3 linked regions of the Macaca mulatta genome follow. The protein of the gene in region 1 interacts with the protein of each later gene in a pairwise test. Links are inferred from orthologs where the notes say so. Each region holds a gene or a part of one and is shown in the gene's direction. Other genes may lie near its edges.

The links.
Region 2: the proteins of UBE2E1 (region 1) and ZNRF2 interact in a two-hybrid assay, tested with the Homo sapiens proteins (2 studies listed by BioGRID). The link is inferred for Macaca mulatta from reciprocal best matches to the Homo sapiens genes UBE2E1 and ZNRF2.
Region 3: the proteins of UBE2E1 (region 1) and CNOT4 interact in a two-hybrid assay, tested with the Homo sapiens proteins (2 studies listed by BioGRID). The link is inferred for Macaca mulatta from reciprocal best matches to the Homo sapiens genes UBE2E1 and CNOT4.

Annotation. Positions count from the first base shown.
Region 1 is NC_133407.1:24,593,300-24,596,704, reverse strand, and holds the end of UBE2E1 (ubiquitin-conjugating enzyme E2 E1), read left to right. Parts: intron 1-603; coding exon 604-751; coding exon of another isoform or gene 752-870; exon of another isoform or gene 871-1,398; intron 1,399-2,031; coding exon 2,032-2,129; 3' UTR 2,130-2,825; downstream 2,826-3,405. UniProt on the Homo sapiens protein: Accepts ubiquitin from the E1 complex and catalyzes its covalent attachment to other proteins. Catalyzes the covalent attachment of ISG15 to other proteins. Mediates the selective degradation of short-lived and abnormal proteins.
Region 2 is NC_133408.1:98,073,661-98,077,410, reverse strand, and holds the start of ZNRF2 (E3 ubiquitin-protein ligase ZNRF2), read left to right. Parts: upstream 1-1,142; 5' UTR 1,143-1,917; coding exon 1,918-2,380; intron 2,381-3,750. UniProt on the Homo sapiens protein: E3 ubiquitin-protein ligase that plays a role in the establishment and maintenance of neuronal transmission and plasticity. Ubiquitinates the Na(+)/K(+) ATPase alpha-1 subunit/ATP1A1 and thereby influences its endocytosis and/or degradation.
Region 3 is NC_133408.1:175,336,235-175,339,984, reverse strand, and holds the start of CNOT4 (CCR4-NOT transcription complex subunit 4), read left to right. Parts: upstream 1-1,120; 5' UTR 1,121-1,334; intron 1,335-2,063; 5' UTR 2,064-2,149; intron 2,150-3,750. UniProt on the Homo sapiens protein: Has E3 ubiquitin ligase activity, promoting ubiquitination and degradation of target proteins. Involved in activation of the JAK/STAT pathway. Catalyzes ubiquitination of methylated RBM15.

The DNA of each region.
Region 1 (3,405 bases):
ATTCTGTGATTTAGGTAGACAGGATGTCTGTGGGACCTGATGTAAAGGTCAGAAAAAAGCAGAAGTAGACTTCAAATTTTGTTCAGCTTTTTGGGTGTAGTCATTGTTTGCTAAGTATGTTGTTTAATTATCTTTAGGTACCTATTATGTTGCACTTCAGTTTTTAAGAGAGACTTACGATTTTAAATATTTTAAAGCTTTTAAGTATTTTAAAGCTTACTTTGAGGCAGTGTAGTACTACCAGCTAGCACAAGAGGTCAGCAAACAATTACCTATTCAGACTTGGAAATGTTAATATTTAAAAGATTTAAAATTGCTAAAGATAAAATTAGGAAGTACTGAACTTACCATCAGGGGACATAACATTTTAAATGAAATTGACACAGTCCCTGAGATGGTCAGTGAACACTTTCTAATCAAATTTATTAAACAAGTCTATCTTCTTGACAGCTTTAATTAAAACTGCTTTTATTCACCTTTTTAAAAACTACCTATCTGGGAGTTTTTTTTTCTTTCTTTCTAATTAGGGTCATTCAGTTGAGTATTTAGTAAAAAGTTTGTTTGCTTTTTAACTATTGTTTGACACTTCCTTGTTTTCCTTAGGTTACATTTCGGACAAGAATCTATCATTGTAATATTAACAGTCAAGGTGTTATTTGCTTGGACATATTGAAAGATAATTGGAGTCCAGCACTAACCATTTCTAAAGTCCTCCTTTCTATCTGCTCACTTCTTACAGACTGTAATCCTGGTAAGGTTAATAATTCTTTACCTTGTTTTATTCTTCCTCACCTGAAAAGTACTTGTTTCCAAAAGCTTTCAAAGGACAAAACTAATTTTTCTGCAAAACTTTATGAATATAAAAACTAATCTGCTTTTCAAAGAAAGTTTTAATCGAGAAGTTCAGTCTACTAGTTGAGACATACAACTTCATTAATCAGTATATTCTAGCAACAAGGTATTTTAAACTGAAGACGAAGTTTGCCTTGGGCTTTTACAGTTTCAGTTATTCTTCCCTCTATTTTTTTTTCCTGTTGCTTAATTTCCCATATAGTTCTTATAAAACAAATCATACACTTCTAAATGCCAAGTCATCTGCCTGGCAAGCCTCACCTTGCCTGTGGGGTTCAGTGGGCATGTGCCCATAGCTGGTCACTGAGATGGCACTCAGTTTTGAAAATGGTATTTGTTAAATACTTAGTGACTATTGAATTGTGACTTTTTTGGGACTTCATTTCATTTAAAAAATATTTTTCTGTAGTCCCAGCTACTAGGGTGGCTGAGGTGGCAGGATTGTTTGAACCCAGAAGGTCAAGGCTGCAGTGAGCCATGAGCATGCCGCTGCACAGAACTCCAGCCTGGGTGGCAAAGTGAGACCCTGTCTCAAAAAAAAAAAAAAAAAAATGTGTGTATATATATATAAATATATATATGTGTGTCTATACACACATATATTATTTATTTTATTTTCTAGGTAAACCAAATATAAATTTAGTTATTAAAGATCCTAAGATTCAGAGAAATACTATACTTAATTGGAGGTCCAGGTTTTGCCTGGCAACCTGGCTCTTTAACCAGTGTAAAGGTAAATAGTGTTGCATTGCAACAGCCCCGAAGACTTCACAGTATTCACAATGCCATAACTGGTGACACTGAGCTAAGGGTCACATCAACACAGTTGGATGTTCATTGTAGTCTGGAGCCTTGACCGTTCCAGTCTCCACTGAACTCAGCCTAACACATAAGAGTAAAGAAACTCCAATCGGGTGTTGTTTATTGGGAGAAAAATGGAATGAACTAAGATACAGACAGACCAGTAAACTAAAGCCTGAGCATTCCCTCTTCCTCCCATGTTACGATTTTTAAATTTTTGATGGAAAAATATCCGGCATAGTGGAGTGGTGTTTCGAAGATGGGTTTGATCACACATACTTGGTTGTACATGTCTGCCCAAGCTGTCACTAATGTATTTGCTAAAGTTTAAAATGTTCTTTTCCTTTCTCCAAAGTAATCTACATTCTTTTCTTCCAGCCGACCCCTTGGTGGGAAGTATTGCCACTCAGTATATGACCAACAGAGCAGAACATGACAGAATGGCCAGACAGTGGACCAAGAGATACGCTACATAAACTGGGTTTTCACAATTCTTACATTATTTGTCACAGAAGAGAGCTGCTTATGATTCTGAAGGGGTCAGGGAGGGTGGGAGTTGGTAAAGAGTAGGGTATTTCTATAACAGATATTATTCAGTCTTATTTCCTAAGATTTTGTTGTAACTTAAGGTATCTTGCTACAGTAGACAGAATTGGTAATAGCAACTTTTAAAATTGTCATTAGTTCTGCAATATTAGCTGAAATGTAGTACAGAAAAGAATGTACATTTAGACATTTGGGTTCAGTTGCTTGTAGTCTGTAAATTTAAAACAGCTTAATTTTGTACAGGTTACACATATGGCCATTTATGTAAAGTCCCTCTAAGACTACATACTTTTTGTTTAAAACAAAATTGGAATTTGTTTTCCCTTCTTGGAAGGGAACATTGATATTTAACAGAGTTTTTAGAGACTGTCATCTCATATATATAAAATGGACACGTGGCTGTAAGACACCATATAGGAGATGAGTAATGTGTTTTATTTTATATGCCAATCTACTTTGTTTAAAAAAGGTTTAAATCAGGACTTGTGAAAACCTGTAGTGAAATACCTTAAGCTGTTAACTGTAAGGCGTGGAATAGGAGTTGCTCAGTGGATTGGTTATATGTTGTGGACTACTTAAGTCTGCATTTGTTACTGTGCTAATAAACAATATTAAAAACCGCCTAATACTGCTGTGTTCATTTACTTTTATTTTGCCTTTTGGTTGCTGTTTGCAGATTCTTCTGAAATCGATAGGTATCTGCTTCTAAAACAAGCTAAAAATAATGCATATTTAGTAGGTATTATTTACCCATATTAGGATCTGTACTTTACACAGCTGTAGATGTTGAGGTATCCTAGACAAGGTTAAATAATCTACCCCATTTAGGCTTCAAAGACGAACCCTACTGCATTTTTTTTTAAAGCGTTTTCTGACTTGCAGATGCTGTAGTAGCAAGTACATGGGAAATGGGTTCTGTCAGGGATAAACTGGTACACTGCCGTAGGGGGCATTTTGGCAGTACCTAAGTATACACATGGCATGACCCAGCAGTGCTGTTTCTGTGTGTCTTTCATTACAGAATTTAAAAAGAATTGGTAACTCTGTCTGTACTAATATAGACTAAGTTGCATTAGCAGGAAACAAACTGGAAGGTACTTATTTAAAAATCATTATGAAAGCATTTGTCCATCTATGTAACATGTATGGAGGGAAAAGCTAGATTAATATTCAGTAACTGGGGGAAAAGGTAAGGGGTGAGTTAGT
Region 2 (3,750 bases), on another chromosome or scaffold:
AAACACCACTTGCTATTATTTTCAAGTAGAGACTAGACATTTTCAAAATGGGAGTCTCAGAGCAGGCTATTCCCTGGGTATCCAGACCCCACTCTGCCGTGAAGAGACCACACCAACACCGAGGAATGCACTGAAGAGAATTTTATTACATTCAATTTTAGAGAAGTTATAGGATCTTAAAGATGCAGGTGCCCTAGGATTTAACACAAAAAGTCGGCCAGGTGCGGTAGCTCACACCTGTAATCCCAGCACTTTGGGAGACCGAGGCGGGTGGATCACTTGAGGACAGGAGTTCGAGACCAGTCTGGCCAACATGGTGAAACCCTGTCTCTACTAAAAATACAAAATTAGCCAGGTGTGGTGGCACGCGCCTGTAATCCCAGCTATTCTGGAGGAGGAGGCAGGAGAATTGCTCGAACCCGGGAGGAGGTTGCAGTGAGCCGAGATCGCACCACTGCACTCCAGCCTGGGTGACTGAGCGAGACTCGGTCTCAAAAACAAAAACAAAAACAAACCTGAAGTCCAAAAAAGTAAAATAATTTGCTCACTACACATAATTTAGTTTGGTGTTGGGCCTAGATCTTAGGTTTTGTGAGTCAGGTGCAGCATTCCTGGCACGACGGTTTTTGCCCTACCACGGAAGGTCAAGTTGGATTATCCCGAGTTCTTCCAACTCTGCGCTTCCTCCCAGGTTGGTGTTTCACGAGTGAGTCTAATTCAGATCAAGCTGGCTTTTGAGATTCTGTTTTTTAAATCAGTGTGTAACACCAACACCCACCGAAACCAAATGGCTCTGGGCACAGGACACAGCCATTCACGCCCCCTGCCAGGAAAAGCTGCAGCTGACACAGGCTCCTCCAGCGTCGGCGGGCCACATGCGGGAGGAGGGGCCGCCTTCTGGTTGGCGCCGGGTGTCCGTCCCTCCTATCAGCGTAGGCCCCGCGAGGAAGACACGGGCTCGCCCTGGCTGGCGGGGCGGGGCCAGACACCTGTCCATCACCGAGTCCACGGGTGGCAGCACCTACCACACCGCAGTACCTTGGAGAGGCGGAGCAGGGGCGGGCAGGTCGCGGCCAGGGGAGGCGGAGCAAGGCCGGCAGGAGCCAATCGGCCCGGCGGCGCGAGGGGGCGGGGGCGGGGTCACCGCGCGCGACCCAAACACACGGGCTGGGCGCACCCTGCCGCCGCGCCGCTCCGCGGTCTTCCGGCGCGAGGGCTAGGGCACCTCCTCCCGTCTCGGGCACCCCCACCTTCGCGGCCCAGATCCTCCCGCCAGTCCGGCCCCTCCTTCGCAGGGGGAGCGAGGAGACGGTTGCCGGGAAGCGCGCGCCACCCCTCCCTCCCATTCTTCGTCCTCCCCTCGCGCGCCACCCGTTTTTCCTCTTTCTCCGTTAATAACAGCTGGGTGGCTGGGGGAGGAGGGAAGGTGGCCCCGGCGGAGTCTGGGCCGGCACCTCCCACTCAGCCGCCAGCCGCCGTGGGAGCCGGAGGATGGCGGCGGTAGCAGCGGCCGCCCGAGAGGAGGCGGTGCCGAGGCCCGGGGCGCCGAGCGCGGCGGCAGAGAGCGGCAGCAGCCCGTCGTGGCGCACCAGAACCGAAACCAGCGGCAGCCGCACGGCCACCTGAGCCGCCCGTTCCTGCTGGAGCCAGCGAGGGGTGCCAGCCGCCGGGACCTCTTCCTCTCCGCGTCTCTTCGTCTCCTGCGCCCGCGTCAGGCCGCCGGCCTCACCCACTGCCCCGAGAAGAGCGCGCCGGGCGCCGACTGCCCCTCGGGGCGCCGGGCGGCGGCCCTGGACGTGCGGGGGCCTCTCTGGGCCGGCCGCGGCGCCTCGGCCCTGCCCTCTAGCTCCTGCGCTCTCTCCCGCCCTCCCGGCTCTCGGGGCGCAGCGCGCGGGCCCGGCCCAGGGCAGGGCGGACATGGGCGCCAAGCAGAGCGGCCCGGCCGCCGCTAACGGCCGCACGCGCGCTTACTCGGGCTCGGATCTACCTTCCAGTAGCAGTGGAGGGGCCAATGGGACCGCGGGCGGCGGCGGGGGCGCTCGGGCTGCCGCGGCTGGGAGGTTCCCGGCTCAGGTGCCCAGCGCTCACCAGCCCAGCGCCTCAGGCGGCGCCGCGGCGGCCGCGGCGGCCCCAGCAGCCCCGCGCAGCCGCTCCCTCGGCGGGGCCGTGGGGAGCGTGGCGTCGGGGGCCCGCGCGGCGCAGTCCTCCTTCAGCATCCCGAACAGCAGCAGCGGCCCTTACGGCTCGCAGGACTCGGTGCACAGCAGCCCTGAAGACGGCGGCGGCGGCGGCCGGGACCGGCCGGTGGGCGGGAGCCCCGGCGGGCCGCGCCTGGTGATCGGCTCCTTACCAGCTCACCTCTCGCCGCACATGTTTGGAGGTACGGACCCCTCTCCGCGCGCCCGCGCTCGGTCCTCCCGCGGCTGCACGTGGGTCGTGGCCGCCGGCTATTTTTACCCTTCTCCTTTTCTCCTTCGGCCGGGCAGGTCTCTATCCTGGGAAGAAACCCCCGGCACTTAACTCCTGCGGTGCCGCTATCGCGTAGACGCGTGGTTTGGTTTTTAAACATCGTGAGCACCCTCACCTCAGCGGCTCCCCGGTAGAGAAAGTCTGTTTTCCATAGAGATGACTGGAGCAAATGTTGTTTTACAACAAACAGACGAAACAGCCCTTGTGGTTGTGGCTTTTAGTACCAGGAAGTCAGGAGGAGACCCGTTGCTAAATGTAGTTCTATCTGGGGACTCAGTGGGGAACAGTTTTTAAAGGCCAAAAGTCAAAGGGTCTCGAATGAACGCTGAGTTACCATCTTTGGACTGACTTTTAATATAAAGCTATAATCCTTAAATCTGTGTCAGTCCCACTTACTATGTCACTCTAGTTGTATGAATGCGTTAATGAAAAGTTTGTTTTTAAACCTCACTAAACCGCTACTTAAGGTCACAGTTAATGTGAGTCCTGCTTAATTTGGAAAACATTTAGAAAATGGAAAAATTTCCTAAGGAAGTAAAAATTTTGCAAATCAGCCTACTAGGTTCTTTTGAAGAGCAGTGTTGACTAGAGTTAAGGAAAAGTCAGTTGTGAAAAATGGGCATTTTTAATAGCAAAAGATGGCTTTACTATAGAAACAGGAGGAAGGGTGCATTGTCCTGGGAAAAGTGAATTCTTCTTCAGTTGTGTTTTATGCTGATCTACTTTATTGCAAAACGCTAATAGTAAATGAATCAAGACCACCTCCCCTCCCCGATTTATGAAAATAAATAGAAGTATAGAAGATAAGCATTCCCATTTCATCGCATTATGCATCTGATATTAGAAGAATTCGCAGCTGAGCACAGATTAGCAGCGAAAACAGCATCCCCTACATTTTTGTGCCTCTTTTACTCATGTGTTTGTAAACGTAGGAACTTTGAGTGGAGACTTAGTAAAGTGGAATACGTAGTAAATGCATTCCGTTCAGAGCAAGGGACAAACAGTTGAGCTCCATGCTTCCTAGTAAATGAGTAAATTTATCTCTTCTAATGTTCTGTACTATCAGCATATACGCCAGCATAAATTAAAAATAAGAATGTCATGTTTAATTTTTCCCATCTTTTAGTAACGCTTTGCACATTCAATATGGAATGATGCTTGACTTTTAATTAGCTACCTTGTTTTAAAGTAATTTTTGCTGCTTAAAAATATGCATCCCTCTTAAAATTGGGCCATTTTAAAAAGTCATTTGCTTTTGAGTAAAGGAACTCTACTGGTGTC
Region 3 (3,750 bases), on another chromosome or scaffold:
TTAATCACGTATTTTTTAAAAAATGCCTCCTCTCTCCTCTTCCTCATCCCAACATATCACTAGGATGGGGACAGGGAATTTTTTCTATTTTGCTCACCATTGTGTTCTCAATATATAGAAGAGTACCCGGCGGCCAGGAGGAGCTCATTGAGTATTTGCTGTATGAGTGGGTGAAGAATACATGCAATAAGCAAAAATTACTGCTTCGAGCGCCGCTTTCACCAGAGTTCTGGGATGCAAACGGGAGCGACCAGTACATTGACTGACGTTTGTGACTGATGATTCTTCAGTGCTCGTAGAGATTGTGGCTGCATTCATTGTTCTTGGGGATGTGCCGATGTGTGTAGAGTTTGTCAACTTGCACACAGCTGTGCTGGCAGGACAGCGAACTAACACTAATTCGCACAGAGGTCTGCAAATTCTCAAATTCACATCAACCGAAGCACGTTATTGTAAGTGCACGGGTCTTCCGTTCTCTTGGGTAATCTGCACAGAACAATTTAGTATATTTCTTCACCGGCGATTTTACAGTGAAGAAGGTATCAAGGGTGGTGGCCCCCAAATGCGCAAGGACAGGGAAATGAATTAAACGGGCGTCTGTTTCCTCCTTGTTTCGCAAACAGACGCCAAGTCTGTATCAAATTCTTACCCTAGATCAAATCCCGCGCTCTTCGTACCCCAACCTGCCTCCACCTCCACCCCGCCCCCTTTAGATATCCCTGGTGGGCGGGGCAGAGAAGAAACATTCCGGGCTCCCAGAAAAATTGTCTAGCCTCGCCCCAGTCTTGGGGTCGCACATTTCCAAAAACACCGAGGACACAGAATGACTAGTGAAAACCGCCGACCAAATGACATTGAAGTAGCACACGCGCGCAGAGAAGGAAGCAAAACACGAAGAAAGGCTCAGTCCAGCAGCCACGTGAGGTGGGCGATCTCCTCCGCCCTCTGAGAGAGGACTTCAACTCCCGGCGTGCCCCTGGGCGGTTACCCTCCGAGGACTCCAACTCCCAGGGTGCTGCGGGAGCGGCCACCGCAACCTCCCACTCAGCCGCCCGCCGCTCCTCCCGCCCCTCCCCCGCCCCTCCTGGCCGGATCGGCGTGCGCCTGCGCACGGGAGGCCGGAGGAGTCTTACCCTAATGTAAGATGGTGGCCCGTCTGGCTGTGGAACCCACCGAAAGCTGAGAGTCTCTCTCTCAGCCGTAAAGGTCGGACTCACTGAAGCAATCAGGCCCGGTTCTGAAGAGTTTTTTCCCCGACGCTCGTTCGGTGGTTTCTTGTGAGGACGCGGCAGCGCGTGGAGTCGGCTGAGGGAAAAGCGAGGCAAGGCAGGCGGGTGAGTCTATGCGGGGCTGGGCTTAGGGGAAACCCGGGGCTGACCGGCTACGAGAGAGCGGAGGCTTCGCTGGGACTGTACAGGCCGCACCCCCCTTTCTCCCCACCCCCCGCCTCATCTTCACCCTCCTCCTCCTTGGTCTTCTTCCTCCTCCTCCTCTTCCTCCCTCTCCTCTTTACGCCACAGCAGTTATCAGGAAAAGCGAGCGGGTCAGAAGGCAGCGCGGCGGCAAGCAGCGACTCTCCTTCGAGAATTTCTTTAACTGGGGAGCCGAGGCGGCTTTTGGTCTCCAGCTTTGCCCCCTGCATTTTCATAGGGGCAGGATTCTTAGGTCTCAGTCCTCCTTGTTTCCCCAACCCCCTATTCCCTGTCTGACGTCCTTTCCCACTGGCCCCCGTCTCCCAAGACCAAAGCCATCACTTCCACTCTGACCCGTGTTGCTGCTGCTGCTCGTTAATCCCACTGCTCATTGCCCACCCGTCCTGCTGCTTGTTTTTTGCTCCACTGCTACCACTCTGGAGTTAGCCTTTGCCCCCCTTTGGTGCTTGCATTCAGCCCACAGTGTATCTGCCACACTAGGGCTTCTTCCGATTTGCAGTCTTTCCTTCCACCACATCTGTCATCTTAAAGCTGCCCCTTAAGTGTCTAGATTATGCTTCTGCTCCTGCTAACCCACCTGTTTCTTAGCCTTCTTGAGAATTGTCCGTTCCTTCCCTCTTTCCTGTACAGATCCTTTCCATATACACTTCCAGAAAAAGGGATGCCCCGTGGTGGCCCTTGAAAAGTAAAGGAAGTTGGGAAGTGAATGAAGTGAGGTCGGATAGTATTAAACGTTATGAGTAAAGATCTTTTATTCAGTCTACTCCGGAGGGGACCGTTTTCGTTTTGCTTTCAGTGATCTATTTGTCGCTTATTCGCTCTGTTGTGTTAGGACGTGGCTTTTTTCTTTTCTTTTTTTTTCATTTTGGACCGGTTTTTACCATGCTACTAAGCGTTCTTTGGATTGTCTCTGCCCAGGACACTTCGTGTGGGCTCTGATTTATACTAATATTAACCCCAGCAATTCAAAATAAGATAAATTTGGCGCACATACAGAATTCATCTGTGAACTCCGCTAGCAAATATAAGTGATATTTTGATTATATGTGGGTTATATGTGGGTTCTGTATTGAGACTTGATTTTTGACTGAGTTTTATTGATGTTCAGCTTAATTGATGACATTTTATTTATGATTTGAGTGGAAATTTCCTTTCCAGTTATTATCAGATTTACTTCTTATTTTTGGATTTGGGAAGTTCTCTTGACATTTCTAGGATGATAGTTATCTGAATAAATTGTCTTCTCTTGAAAATCCATTAGGTATGTATGCAAAAGAAAAATCGATGTTTTTATATAAACCTGTTTCTCGTATTTTTCTCATAGAAAAGAAGGGGGCTGGGAAAAGAATGACAAAGCTGTGCACATACATGCATTTGGTAGAACTCACTGTCATTGTTATCTACAGTAAAAAGCAGAAAACTAGAAGCAAGAGGTGGCTTATGATGTCCATGTTTTGGTGAAAGCAAAATTAAGATATACTGACTAATGGTATAATGGGAAGAAGCAGCCCTGGCTATAATCAGACCACTGTGAGATAAAGAATTACCAGAAAAGCAACCAGGATTACATAGTGCAAATACATACATCCCAAGTTTGAACATGACATATATGACATTGCATTCTTAAGATATATGTAAAAATGTTGAACATCAGTGACAGTCTCATGTGGCAGTCCATTAGTGGGTTATTGTAATTTTTACACATTTTACCTGTAAAATTTGGAATCTTAACATTTGGCATTATGTTCACTTGATTGTGATAAATGGTCTGTTTTACCAAATGTAAACTAAGGTTAGAAAACCTGTCTATAAAACTTTTTTCTTTCAGCCACTTAAGCCCCAATTTGGGGGACCAAATAAATACTCTTAGAACTGCAAGCAATTTATATAGCAAACTTTGTCCTAAGTTACAACTTGAGTTTTTTTTTTTTAAATCGCTTACATTTAGTTTATCAGAGGAGTGTATTTAATAGTTGATCTTTAACTCTAAAAAATATACTTTTTGTTGTTGTAATACACTGGTGGAGAAGCTTTCCACTTTGAACAATCCTAACACAGGTTTAGAAACTCTTGGCAATCATACTTGGCTGAATTGTAAGCAGTTGAGTTCTAGGAGAGGACTGTTTGTCTGGTAGAAGGGAGTAAATGATTTTAATACGTCTTTTTTTTTTTTTTTTTTTATTTAAATGGTGTTTGTCTCACGAAATATTTTCTCAAGTAATTTTCTCCCCTCATACTTTTTGCTTGCAGTTACCGAATTCTTCATTTCGGCCCTCTGAAGTCAAAAGGAATTTACTTTTGTATCTTTAGTACGTTT